2 linked regions of the Daphnia pulex genome follow. The protein of the gene in region 2 interacts with the protein of the main gene of each other region in a pairwise test. Links are inferred from orthologs where the notes say so. Each region holds a gene or a part of one and is shown on either strand. Other genes may lie near its edges.

Region 1 (5,650 bases), on a different chromosome or scaffold from region 2:
CAGATAGGCAAATTAATGTAGCACTCTTATCTGCCGCATTCAATGATTAAACAACATCAAGGGCGGGAACGAAGAGAGCAGCAAGGAAAATATGGTCATTATACCTCATCATTTTGGAGTTCTCCGGAAATTCCACCTGATAACTTGCCAATATCTTGGGAATGAATGTTTGATTTTTTTGTGGTCGACTCTGATTGGAATTCGCTGTGCAAATTTGCTTGATGTGGGTCGGTAAACCTGTAACGTCGTTAGCAATAGGGCAATATAAATTGAACTATGGTAGCAACTAGTTTACTTCTTTTTCTCGAATTCGCCTTCATTTGGCTCTCCGAATATAGAGCACACATCTAGCAGCATTCCAGCAGACTCAAATGCCTTAGCAACAACACTGCAATAATAAGAATAGTATACAAAATCAACAGCTAGGACTTCAAAAACAAACATATGCAGTATAAATGTGACACAATAATTTTTTCATACTTAGTTAATGACAACAAAGGCGGCACATTTTCTGCCCAGCTTAACAACTTCTGGACCACACCTTGAAGATGAGCTCGAGCAGCAGGTATATCAGTAGTCTGTAAAAAACAAAAATAACAAACAAAAAAACATTGCCTTGATTTAAACAAACTGTTGACAAAAATTTGATTTTTGAAGTCTTACCTCTATTTTAGATTGCAGGTCTTGTTTGTTCTTCTCCAAAAGTTCCATTAAAACGAGCAAAAATGGAAGATCTTCTACTCTTGCCAGGATAAATCCTTGCTTTAGAACATACAGTCGGCCTATGAATGAAAACAGTTTAAATCTAAATCGATGTGAAGCCAGATTTAGAGTTTAATTACACCAGTAACTAATGAAAGGGTCCATGGATTCGTAATCAGTGGCCATATCCAGATATGGTTGCATACTTTTCAAGTTAGCAGGCAAAGAATCACGATCACCCATGATTATACCATATACATATGGTCACAATTCCGGATTCAGTCGACTAACATGTACAGTGAGAATCAACGCTGCTAGGCAGACAAGGAGTCTCACTCTGGCACAGCACTGCACAATAACCAGTACGCAGTAGCTTGATACACTTATACAGGAAAATACGGTACCGACTCAATCGTTATATTCTACAAAACTTTTGATACTAGAGAGGACAGAAAGCATCCAACGTCTGTGAAGGTAAACAAACGTTACAGAATCTTGAAAAAACCACGTTTTACTACCATGAAGGAGGAATGGAGGAGGGCTACTCGGGGTCTCGGGCTAAGGCTAATGTCGACATCTAGTAACGAAAAAAGAAACCAATATATTGCAGCATCTCGAAACTGTTGCCTGCAGGGCCTTATGAGTCGCTCCTCCTCCTTTCTTCCTTCATGATCCGACTTACAGCGAACAAAAACACGACTTGAAAAAATTCAGAAAGAATTTATTTCGTTAAAATTGTACGTAGTGAGTCATCAAGTGGTTACCTGGCGATTAAACTATAATATAAGGAATAATCTCTCACACGTCGCTGTTGAGTAGGCCGATTGCGACATAACACAACGCTGGATTCAAATAAAAAATGGTTGGGAAACGTGAAATTACGAAACACGCATCTTTTTGTTGTTTGATTTTAGGTAATTCAAGAATATTCTTAGTCCTTTCTGGTTTGGATAATCAGGTTTTTAGATCAAGCGTCTTAAGATAAAGAACAAAGGTAAATGATACAGAAAATACTTATAAGTACATAAAGGCAAGACTATTCAACCTTTGTAATTTCTGTATTAGGCAAGTGAAAAATAAACAACCGATCGATACACGCTTCCTTTGTTACAACACATCAGGGCAATACATTTGCTTACACTTTTAGATTCTTCAAACTGATTACGACTTTTTCATCCGCCTCACACAACCCACTAACCGTAATTTTGGACAATGTATTTACATAAACATGTCATGCGATCCAGGAGGCGGGAGATGATCAAAATCAGGGTCGCCAAAACCTCCACCACTTGGTCTCGGTCCTCTAATGGGAGGAATATTACCAATCGGACCGAAAGGGTCGAATCGCGCGCCAGGCGGGACAGCTCCTGATATGCGGAAACGTTATACATGTTAAAATTATGTTAACCTATTTTTAGAAAATGTTTCAATCAAGTCCAAATACCTGGAGGAAGGTTCCCTGGAATACCCAATGGTGGCCGTCGGCCCATGTGACGAGGGTCCATTAGCATACCGCCACCTCCAAGTCCTCTTCCCAGCGGATTCAAATCACCTCCTCCGACAGCAAACGGATCAGGGAACGAACTATAATGTTTCAATATACATTAATGAATGACTAAAGAGATGAAACCCAGGCATCAAACTCTTAAAAATGCAGTATTTGCCTTGCTGAGGGGTATGAAGGGGCTCCAGTAGATGTACTTTGTGGTCTCTCATCAATGATAATGGTGGAAGTTCCAGAAGGTTTGGAAGACACCTTTTCAACGAAAGGGTCCACCAATTCTTTTTGAACAAAATTGTCCAAAGTGACTTTTTCTTTGTATGCCTCATTGAAACTCTGGAAATTCTCTCCAATCCAACGATCTGTGTCCAACACCAGAGTAGCAACTTTCTCATCTTTAACTCGCTGAAAAAGATTCAACACAGATTCAACTACAGTTAATAGAAAAGCAAAACAATGCATTCAATAATTACCATAACAGTAAAAACCAGTTCTCCATCAACAATAACGGCTTTTAACAAATGTTGTTCTCCATTTTTTACATATTGAAGTTCATACACTGCTTCTGAATTCCAATTTTCGGGAAGTACTTCCTTTCTCTCTGCATCTTCAACATTCAGACCCTTTCCGAAAAATGTTAGCTAACTTTGAAAGTGGATTCTATAGGTGTCAATGCACGTACCTGTTTAGAATGCAAAACCAAATAACCATTCGACAGCAATTTCCAGTGAACGAAAGTAACAAGACAATCTTGCTTCTTATTTAAGGGTTGAGAGTTGTGGAAAGTCGATTCTAGCCACAAAAAAGCCATTTTCGGTCTATTTGGAGTACAACGTTCTAATAACTAATTTTTAAAACGTTTACACTCCGTTACCAGAAGACAGTTACCAAAACCAAAACAAACATGACTCGACGTTGCCATTTATCATAGAACCCCTGACTAAACCAATCAATCAAAGAGAAAATTTGATTCCAATCCCCATCAAGCGAACTGAAGTCGTGAATTCGTGATACATACACCTTACAGGAGTTGTCTTTAACTGATTTTAATTATTCAACTGTGGATTGCTGAATGGGAATATAAATTCTGGATTTTCGGCACCCACTTACCAGTTTTACCACAGACGTAAGCTTTTTCCATTTCCAAATAATCCTACCCTATCAACCTTTTCTAGAGGACGACGCTAAAATAATAAATCGGAATTTAAACAACATTTGAAATACAAATTAAGCATTCGTTTCAATTTCAAATGCTTTTCTTCTGTTATGACCTAATTCCTAACATTATAGAAGCCCTTTCTGTTTATATTCATGTAATGATAAATGTATTAGTAATATGGATGTAAACTGAGACATTAGTTTATCAATAACCTTCTACTGCAGTGTATGAATAAATCCCTTCAAAGTATCAGTCTTACAACAAATGTTACAAACGTTGCAAACAAAACCGCCACGTTCACAGAATGTGTAAACCGACTGTCTTTCACGTGGAAGGGAAGGAGGAGCGAGAGCAAGAATGAGTGGAACTCTACGTTCCAAAACAATTGCTTGCTCATTTCAATTAGCGAAAGCGCATCCATGAAATTATGGGTTGTTGTTTCTTATCCATCATATGTAAATCGATCATGCAATCAACATATCGCCCCCGGCCCAGCACAACATTTTTTTTCTTACACACATACAAGAAACAAAAAAAATTCAAACAGAAAAATGATTTTAAAAATTCTTCTCCTGTTTTTCATTTGCCAATGAAATGAAACGAAAAGAAAAAACAAACTAACAAATTATTCACACGATACCTTTCGCTTTTCTCTGACCGATTCTTTTATATCAACATTTGCCCTTCCTTGGATTAAAAATAATCCGCCCACACAATCAGTTGAAAGGGGTGTATGAAAATAAAGGGGCAAAATTCCAACTACATCATTAATAAATTTAGCCAGGTGTGCTCTTGGAGCACAATTATCGCTCAAAAATCAGCTCATTTTCATGTAATTAGGGAAGATTAGGGGCGATAAATCCCGCCAATCTTCTTCACTTACACGCATGCACACTCTGGCCTCACCCCTTCACTCACACGATACACTCACACAAATGCTCCTCAATATGCTTTTCATAAGGTCAGGCATCCGCCTCTTGATCGCTTTCAGGGTCAGCTTCCTTCAGCCACGTCAGAAAAGATGTGATCATCTTGAGTGCCACAGCTTTGCCTTCACGTTCCAAAGGATCGTCGGCAGACACCCACGACTCAAAGCCCTCTTCAGAAACGACGTTACTGTCATAGAGGGTCTCGAAGATGCCTTGAATTAAACCTACAAAATACAAAAGTTTAGAAAATCGAATCTTGCCACAATTTATAAGCACATACCTTTGGGGTGTTGTCGCTGGGTCACTAAAGTCTGAACTGCGTAAAGCAGTTGAAGCTCACGATCAGCAATGTTGTCAACGTACCGCCTCAACACCTCCGTCCGATTTTTCAAAACAGTGTTGTTCAGTTTACTGTCTGTACCACGTCCTAAATGTACAAACAATTTTGTCATTGAAAATTGTTATTCGACAATTAGTAAAAAAAATTCCTCACCTTCAATAGAACTCTCGGTTACTGCGGTGACCAAGGCACGAATGAAAGCGGGATTCACTTCACCAACATATTGTTTCTGCAATGGGGGAAACAAAACGGCAATGAAAATCAGAAAATAAAAAAGAAACTAGGGAACTCATACCTGAATCCAGCTACAGACGTCATCTGTAGTCAATTGGGTCGCGTCTCTCAAGTACTTCTCCAGGCTGTGCTGAAAATCGATGTTAACTTGACTGGCGGGGGTAGCACTGCTGCTGGACTTGCCAACACTGCCGCTACCCCTTGGTATAGAATCGACTTTGGAAAGGAATTCGAGTTCCTGAAACAATAAATGCAAGACATTTTTAATCGAATTCGAGGAAGGCTGTTAAACTACAATTCAAAATTACCTTATGTTGAGCGAGGAATGCATTCAGGTCAACACCAGATGGTAAAACACTGGTGAGTGGTGCATTCGACATGATAAATATTCTTTCAGCTCCAGCCACACCCTGAAAAGAAACGATGATAAAATTACTATCGATTTAATTCGATGCGCATTGTAAGCCAAAGTTTAATGTGAAATTAGGAAAAAACCTAGTTTCATTCAGATAGGCAAATTAATGTGGCACTCTTATCTGCCGCATTCAATGATTAAACAACATCAAGGGCGGAAACGAAGAGTGCAGCAAGGAAATTATGATCAACACTTAACATACCTGTGCTTTGACTAATTCCTTCAGAACTGCAGCTACAAAATTAGCAACCAAAGATGAATTCAGGGTCGATGACAACTGCGGAAGAAAGTTCAAATTTATCACGCCTTCTTCAAACAGAGGCTCAACCAGCTCTGCCACATATTCCCACAACTTGGGAATGTCCACAAT
Region 2 (5,481 bases):
AGTGGTTTGGATCTGCTCCGGAACGTCATTGTCCGAGCAGCCGTCGCCAATCTGAGCTCCACTAGAAGATACAGGCACCGAGGTATTGGAAGCAGCAGCCAAGCCGGGGGAATCCGGGCCGAGCATCAGGAGAGGTAAAGGAGCTAAGCCGGGCGACGGACAAGGAGGCGCTATGACGACCGCATTTCCGGAAGGCAGGACTAAGGTATCTGAACTGGTCGATGGGTTGGCAGAGGCGCCGGCAGTGTTGCCGCTGCTTCCAGACGAGCAGCCAATGACAATAGACGATCCTCGTGGTGAAGGATTGAAGACGGGCGAGACGGGCGACGAACTGGCTGTCGGAGGAAGGTGTTGGGTCATGGCGTCCTGCAGTAAACATTTGACATCCTCGGCGGTCGACAAATCCAACGGAGTTTGTCCTTCCTGGTTCTTCATGTGGGGATCGGCCCCGTGGGCCAAGAGCAAGGCACAAAGCTGAGTGCGACCTTTCTGGGCCGCTTCGTGAAGTGGCGTGAAGCCCCAGCGATCGGTCGCGTTCACTTCCGTGTTGAAACGAATTAGCAGGGCGGCAACGTCCAGGTGTCCGTACGACGAAGCATTATGCAAAGGGATGAGTCCGCCTTTATCTTGGGCGTTGACGTCGGCTCCATGCTCGAGCAAGTACTCGGCCACGTCCAAATTGTTGTAGCCGGACGCCAGATGGAGAGGCGTAGAGTTACGGCCCAGCGAGTCACGACAGTTGATGTTCTGACTCGTCACGAGCTTGTGGACACGAGCTAGATGACCTTTCTTGGCGGCGTCCAGCAGTGCGGCGTCGCCGCGCAGAAGGTCGGCAATGTCTTGATCGCCGTCACGTACAAGGTCCAAAGGCGTGTGACCGTCTCGATTCTTCTTACTGGGATCGGCGCCGTGCTTCAACAACAACTTGACGATGTCGTACTTTCCCTTGGCGGCCGCTTCGTGCAGCGGAGTGAATTTCCACAAGTCAGAAACGTTGACGCTGGCTCCGGCACGTACCAACAACTCTGTCACTTCGTAGTGTCCGTAGGAGCAAGCATTGTGAAGCGGAACTAGACCGCCTTTATCCTTGGCCTGGAATAACCCATAAAAACAAAACAAAACAAACAAACAGATGAGTAAAATTTAATACACGTCCCTCACATTTGTATGGCATCGAGGCTCGCTCTCACCTGGACATCGCCTCCGTGTTGGAGGAGAAACTCGACGACCGCAAGGCGGTTATAACCGGCCGCAAAGTGAAGCGGTGTGGAATGTCGCCCATCTAGGTCGCGGCAGTTGACTAGCTGCGGCGAGGGATTGACGCCCAAAATACGACGGACATTATCCAAATCCCCAGCTTTGGCCGCTTCTAGCAACTGGTATTCGAGATCGACAGGCGGAGGGGTGGCATTGAAGGCCGGCTGCTCGGCGAAAAGCTTCTGCACAGATTCGGTAGCCACTTGGGCGGCCGTGTAACCCTGAAGAGAGACGACCGTGGGATCGGCGCCGTATGGAAGAAGCAGTCGACACACTGGCACTTGTCCTTTTTGACTGCTTCGGTGCAGGGCCGTTTGACCAAGGCCGTCCAACACATTGACTTTGGCACCGTGACGCAGGAGAGCCTCCAAAACGTCCAGGTGCTCCTTGTCGGCGGCAATGTGTAGCGGCGCGTGAAGCTCTTTGTTCTTCTCGTTAGGCGCGGCCCCTTTCTTCAAAAGGATTTCGACGACGTGCTTCCGTTTGACTCCGGTGGAGGCGACGGCACAATGAAGGGCAGTGTCTCCCGTGTACGGGTGCTTGAATCCAATGACGTCCACAGAGAGGAATTTCTTGAGACGAGTTGGATCCGCTTGCCGAGCCGCTTCCAGTAAACTATGTCCTTTGAATTCATACGATAGAAGGTCCTGGAGTTCCCGCGAAGGGGCAACATCCAGGGCGGATTTGGCGTGGCAGTTCAACAATGTCGGATCGGCCCCGTGGGCTAATAAAAGGGAACAAACTTCACGGCGGCCTTTGGAAGCCGCTTCGTGCAGCGGTGTGAACTGCCACAAATCCGTGGCGTTCACGTTGGCACCGGCGCGAACGAGCAGCTCCGTCACTTCGTGATGCCCGTAGGAACAGGCGTTATGCAATGGAACTAAACCACCCTTGTCTTTGGCCTGAACGTCGGCACCGTGTTGCAGCAATCTCTGGACGATCTGTGTTCGGTTATAACCAGCAGCCAAATGCAATGGAGTGGACTTGCGGCCGTCACTGGCATGGCAGTTTACATTCAACGGCGTCAAGAGGGAAAGAATTTTGTCTTCGTTTCCACTCCGAGCTGCCTCTAAAAGTTCCTCTTTACGATAATCACCAGTTAACACGGGTCGTGTTGTGGCGTCAGCTACATCGAGAGGAATTTTTCCTAAAAATAAAATTAACATTAAAACAAGAGCAAAAACATTTATTTGAATGATGTAAATTACCTTCAGCATTGCGAACATTATGATCAGCTCCATGCTGTAGAAGAACTATACACACATCAATTTTACCCTTGATTGCAGCCTCGTGCAGGGGTGTGTAACTCCAATTGTCCCTTGCATTTGGGTCTGCACCAGCACTTAGCAGAAGTTGAACAACTTCGGCATGACCGAAAGAACAGGCATTGTGAAGAGGAATCAAACCACCATCATCTCTAGCATGAACATTGGCTCCAGTGGCAATCAAATGCTCCACCACATCTCTTCTACCAAAACCTACAAATTTAAAAATAAAACATAAACATAAACTTGTAAAGATCTCACTCTCTCATGCTCTGTTTCACGACAGGCTAGTTATGCTGATGCATTTCACTTGAAAAGAGAAAAGGAAGTGATATTGGTGGAGTAGAAAACCAGGGTAACCTTAAAGGAACTAATAACTTCATTGAATGAAACCAAACATTTTTAGGAAGAGATCAGGTTGTGAAAAATGAAAGCTTGAATGATAGAGAGTTGAAAGTTATTTTGCCACAGTTATTTACCTGCGGCGAAGTGGAGTGGAGACGACTTTCTTCCAGCTGTATCACGGGCGTTAACATTTTGTGTAGTTACCAACTTTTTGACTTTAGAAACCTCTCCGTTCCGACAAGCTTCGAACAATTCACGAAGAGGATCACACGGACTGGTCGCAAGTAGATCTATGGCGGTATTTATCGAGGAGGTAGACCTTCTCGTCGCCATTTTACCACTAGTTTTCCACAATTTTTTTTCTTAGAAAGCCACTCAACTCAGCACCTAATAACCCGTCCTACACAACGTCCCGTTGTTACCAGACCAAAACAGCTGTGCCTCCAAGCTAGGAGGAGGCTGTCACTTTGTCGCTGGTAGTTTTAATTCAATTAAAAAAAACTGTGAATTATTGTTTTTAAATGACTGAAATATTAAATTATGTTTAGCAACCTACAAATCTGACCTAAAACTTGAAGTTCTAATATAAAAATGTGAAATTTGTGCTATTGGCATCGCTGAGAAAGTGTCAACTAGCCATCTAGCGCTGAGATTTTAAACTGACGAAATAAATCGGTGAAAAAATAAATTCGCATGGTGTTTCAAATAACTGAAATAAGGGTGGGTTCATTCAACCACAGTCACAGACAACGAATTGGTTCAATTAGGTAACCAATTTGAACAACACAAACACCATATTATAAAATAATGCAGTTTCCCAAACTTCTTCCTTGATGAAATATAATTTCTACACAATTTCAAAATAGTTTTAAAACGTGTCCCACAAAATCAAAACTCAAGAGGTAGTTGTATAAATGACATGCCAAGTAAGATTAGAACTGATTTCCAACCTAGTTTAAAAATGTGAATATGTGTGGGATGTGGGGAGAAACAAGTATGTGGGTCAATGGATGATACATTCATGGTAGATTGTGTTGTGTACACTTCTGCCGTTACTGATAGGGGCTTGACATGTTAGAGATAAGAATTTTTTATCAGTTTGCCTGGTTTCAAATCTGATGTTCTTACTTTATAGTATTCTCTTTATGCATGATGGCACAACAAAACTTTGTTCCTGGAACTGCTAGTCAAGATCCCAATAATGAAGTGGAGCTTACTATTTCGGCAAAGTAAGTATTGTACAAATAATAAATATAGCACTACCATTCAGTTCTACAGCAAATTTCATTACAATTTAACAGGAACTTGTCAAATAAAGATCTTGTTTCCAAGTCTGATCCTATATGTGTGGTCTACATTCAACAGGGCCAATCTTGGGTAGAACATGGCAGAACTGAGCAAATTGTCAACTCGTTAAACCCAGAGTTTTCCAAAAAAATTGTTATTGGCTACCGCTTTGAAGAACTGCAAAAGTTAAAATTTAAAATCTATGATATTGACAGTAAGAGTACTGCCTTGGATAAACATGATTTCTTGGGAGAGGCTGATTGCTCTCTTGGGCAAATAGTTTCTTCTGGCAAGATTGTTATCCCACTTCATCACCCTAAGAGCAAAAACAAAGGAGAATTGTGCATAGTAGCTGAAGAAATAGGGGCACTTAAGGAAGATGTCGAATTCCTGTTTAGCGCCGAGGGTTTCAAAAAGAGCGGGATCCTCAGCAAACCGGATCCGTTTTTAGCCATTTATAAAGAAAACACTCTAGTTCATCGCACAACGTTCATAAAAGACAACTGTAATCCAAGGTGGCCAAAATTCACTATCCCTATGCGATTGATACGCACAAAAGATCAAAAAGATGTAGCATTATCACTGCAGTGCTGGAATTGGAACGGAGATGGAAGCCACAAACTAATGGGCGAGGTACACACTACCACACAAGGAATTCTACAAACTCCCAAAACTTTCTCGTTGGATGATAAGGTTCGATTTATCCTGATTTGTTGAAAGGTTGTATATTTTTTTTGCTAATGAATTTATTGCTGGTAATGTAGAAAACAGGAAAAAGCGTGGGAAAGTTGTGTTTACATGAAGCCAAAGTAATTAAAACCTTTTCTTTCTTGGATTATATCACGAGCGGCACTCAGATTAACTGCACAATTGCCATAGATTTCACTGGTAGACGTTGATAAATCATTTAATTAGGTCGTCACTTTTAACTTTTTACTGTGTTAGGTTCCAACGGAGCTCCCAATAACCCTAATTCCCTACATTATATGGGACCTACGCCTACTCTCTACGAGCAAGCACTGCTGTCTGTCGTCACAATTATTCAAGACTACGATAGTGATAAACATTTCCCCGTTCTTGGATTCGGAGCGAAAGTTCCGCCTAACGGTATTCTTTCCCACGAATTTTTCGTCAACCTGACTCCCAATCCACACTGCTTTGGAGTTAATGGTAACATTTTTCCATCAACAATCATATCATTTTATTCATCTAAATTATTTAAAAAAAAATAGGGGTAATTGAAGCATACCGGAAATGTTTACCTTGCATTCAGCTTTACGGACCTACCAATTTCTCCCCAGTAATTAATCATGTGTCACGCTTCGCC

The links.
Region 1: the proteins of poly [ADP-ribose] polymerase tankyrase-like (region 2) and proteasome inhibitor PI31 subunit-like interact in binary tests that used the Drosophila melanogaster proteins (3 or more experiments, as listed by UniProt). The link is inferred for Daphnia pulex from reciprocal best matches to the Drosophila melanogaster genes Tnks and PI31.

Annotation. Positions count from the first base shown.
Region 1 is NC_060020.1:485,676-491,325, reverse strand, and holds the start of proteasome inhibitor PI31 subunit-like, read right to left. Parts: upstream 3,234-5,650; 5' UTR 3,015-3,233; coding exon 2,886-3,014; intron 2,827-2,885; coding exon 2,677-2,826; intron 2,609-2,676; coding exon 2,367-2,608; intron 2,287-2,366; coding exon 2,147-2,286; intron 2,070-2,146; coding exon 1,983-2,069; intron 1,611-1,982; exon of another isoform or gene 946-1,610; coding exon of another isoform or gene 843-945; intron 783-842; coding exon of another isoform or gene 664-782; intron 579-663; coding exon of another isoform or gene 481-578; intron 389-480; coding exon of another isoform or gene 296-388; intron 238-295; coding exon of another isoform or gene 105-237; intron 1-104. Other genes in the region: uncharacterized protein LOC124192564, read right to left, coding at 105-237, 296-388, 481-578, 664-782, 843-945; eukaryotic translation initiation factor 4 gamma 1-like, read right to left, coding at 4,325-4,515, 4,572-4,718, 4,785-4,860, 4,927-5,103, 5,174-5,275, 5,483-5,650.
Region 2 is NC_060026.1:4,291,710-4,297,190, forward strand, and holds the start of poly [ADP-ribose] polymerase tankyrase-like, read right to left. Parts: upstream 3,454-5,481; 5' UTR 3,201-3,453; coding exon 3,002-3,200; intron 2,736-3,001; coding exon 2,466-2,735; intron 2,405-2,465; coding exon 1,191-2,404; intron 1,093-1,190; coding exon 1-1,092. Other genes in the region: copine-8-like, read left to right, coding at 4,017-4,096, 4,169-4,847, 4,919-5,042, 5,100-5,324, 5,387-5,481. UniProt on the Drosophila melanogaster protein: Stimulates proteasome activity, probably by ADP-ribosylation of PI31. Modulates 26S proteasome assembly.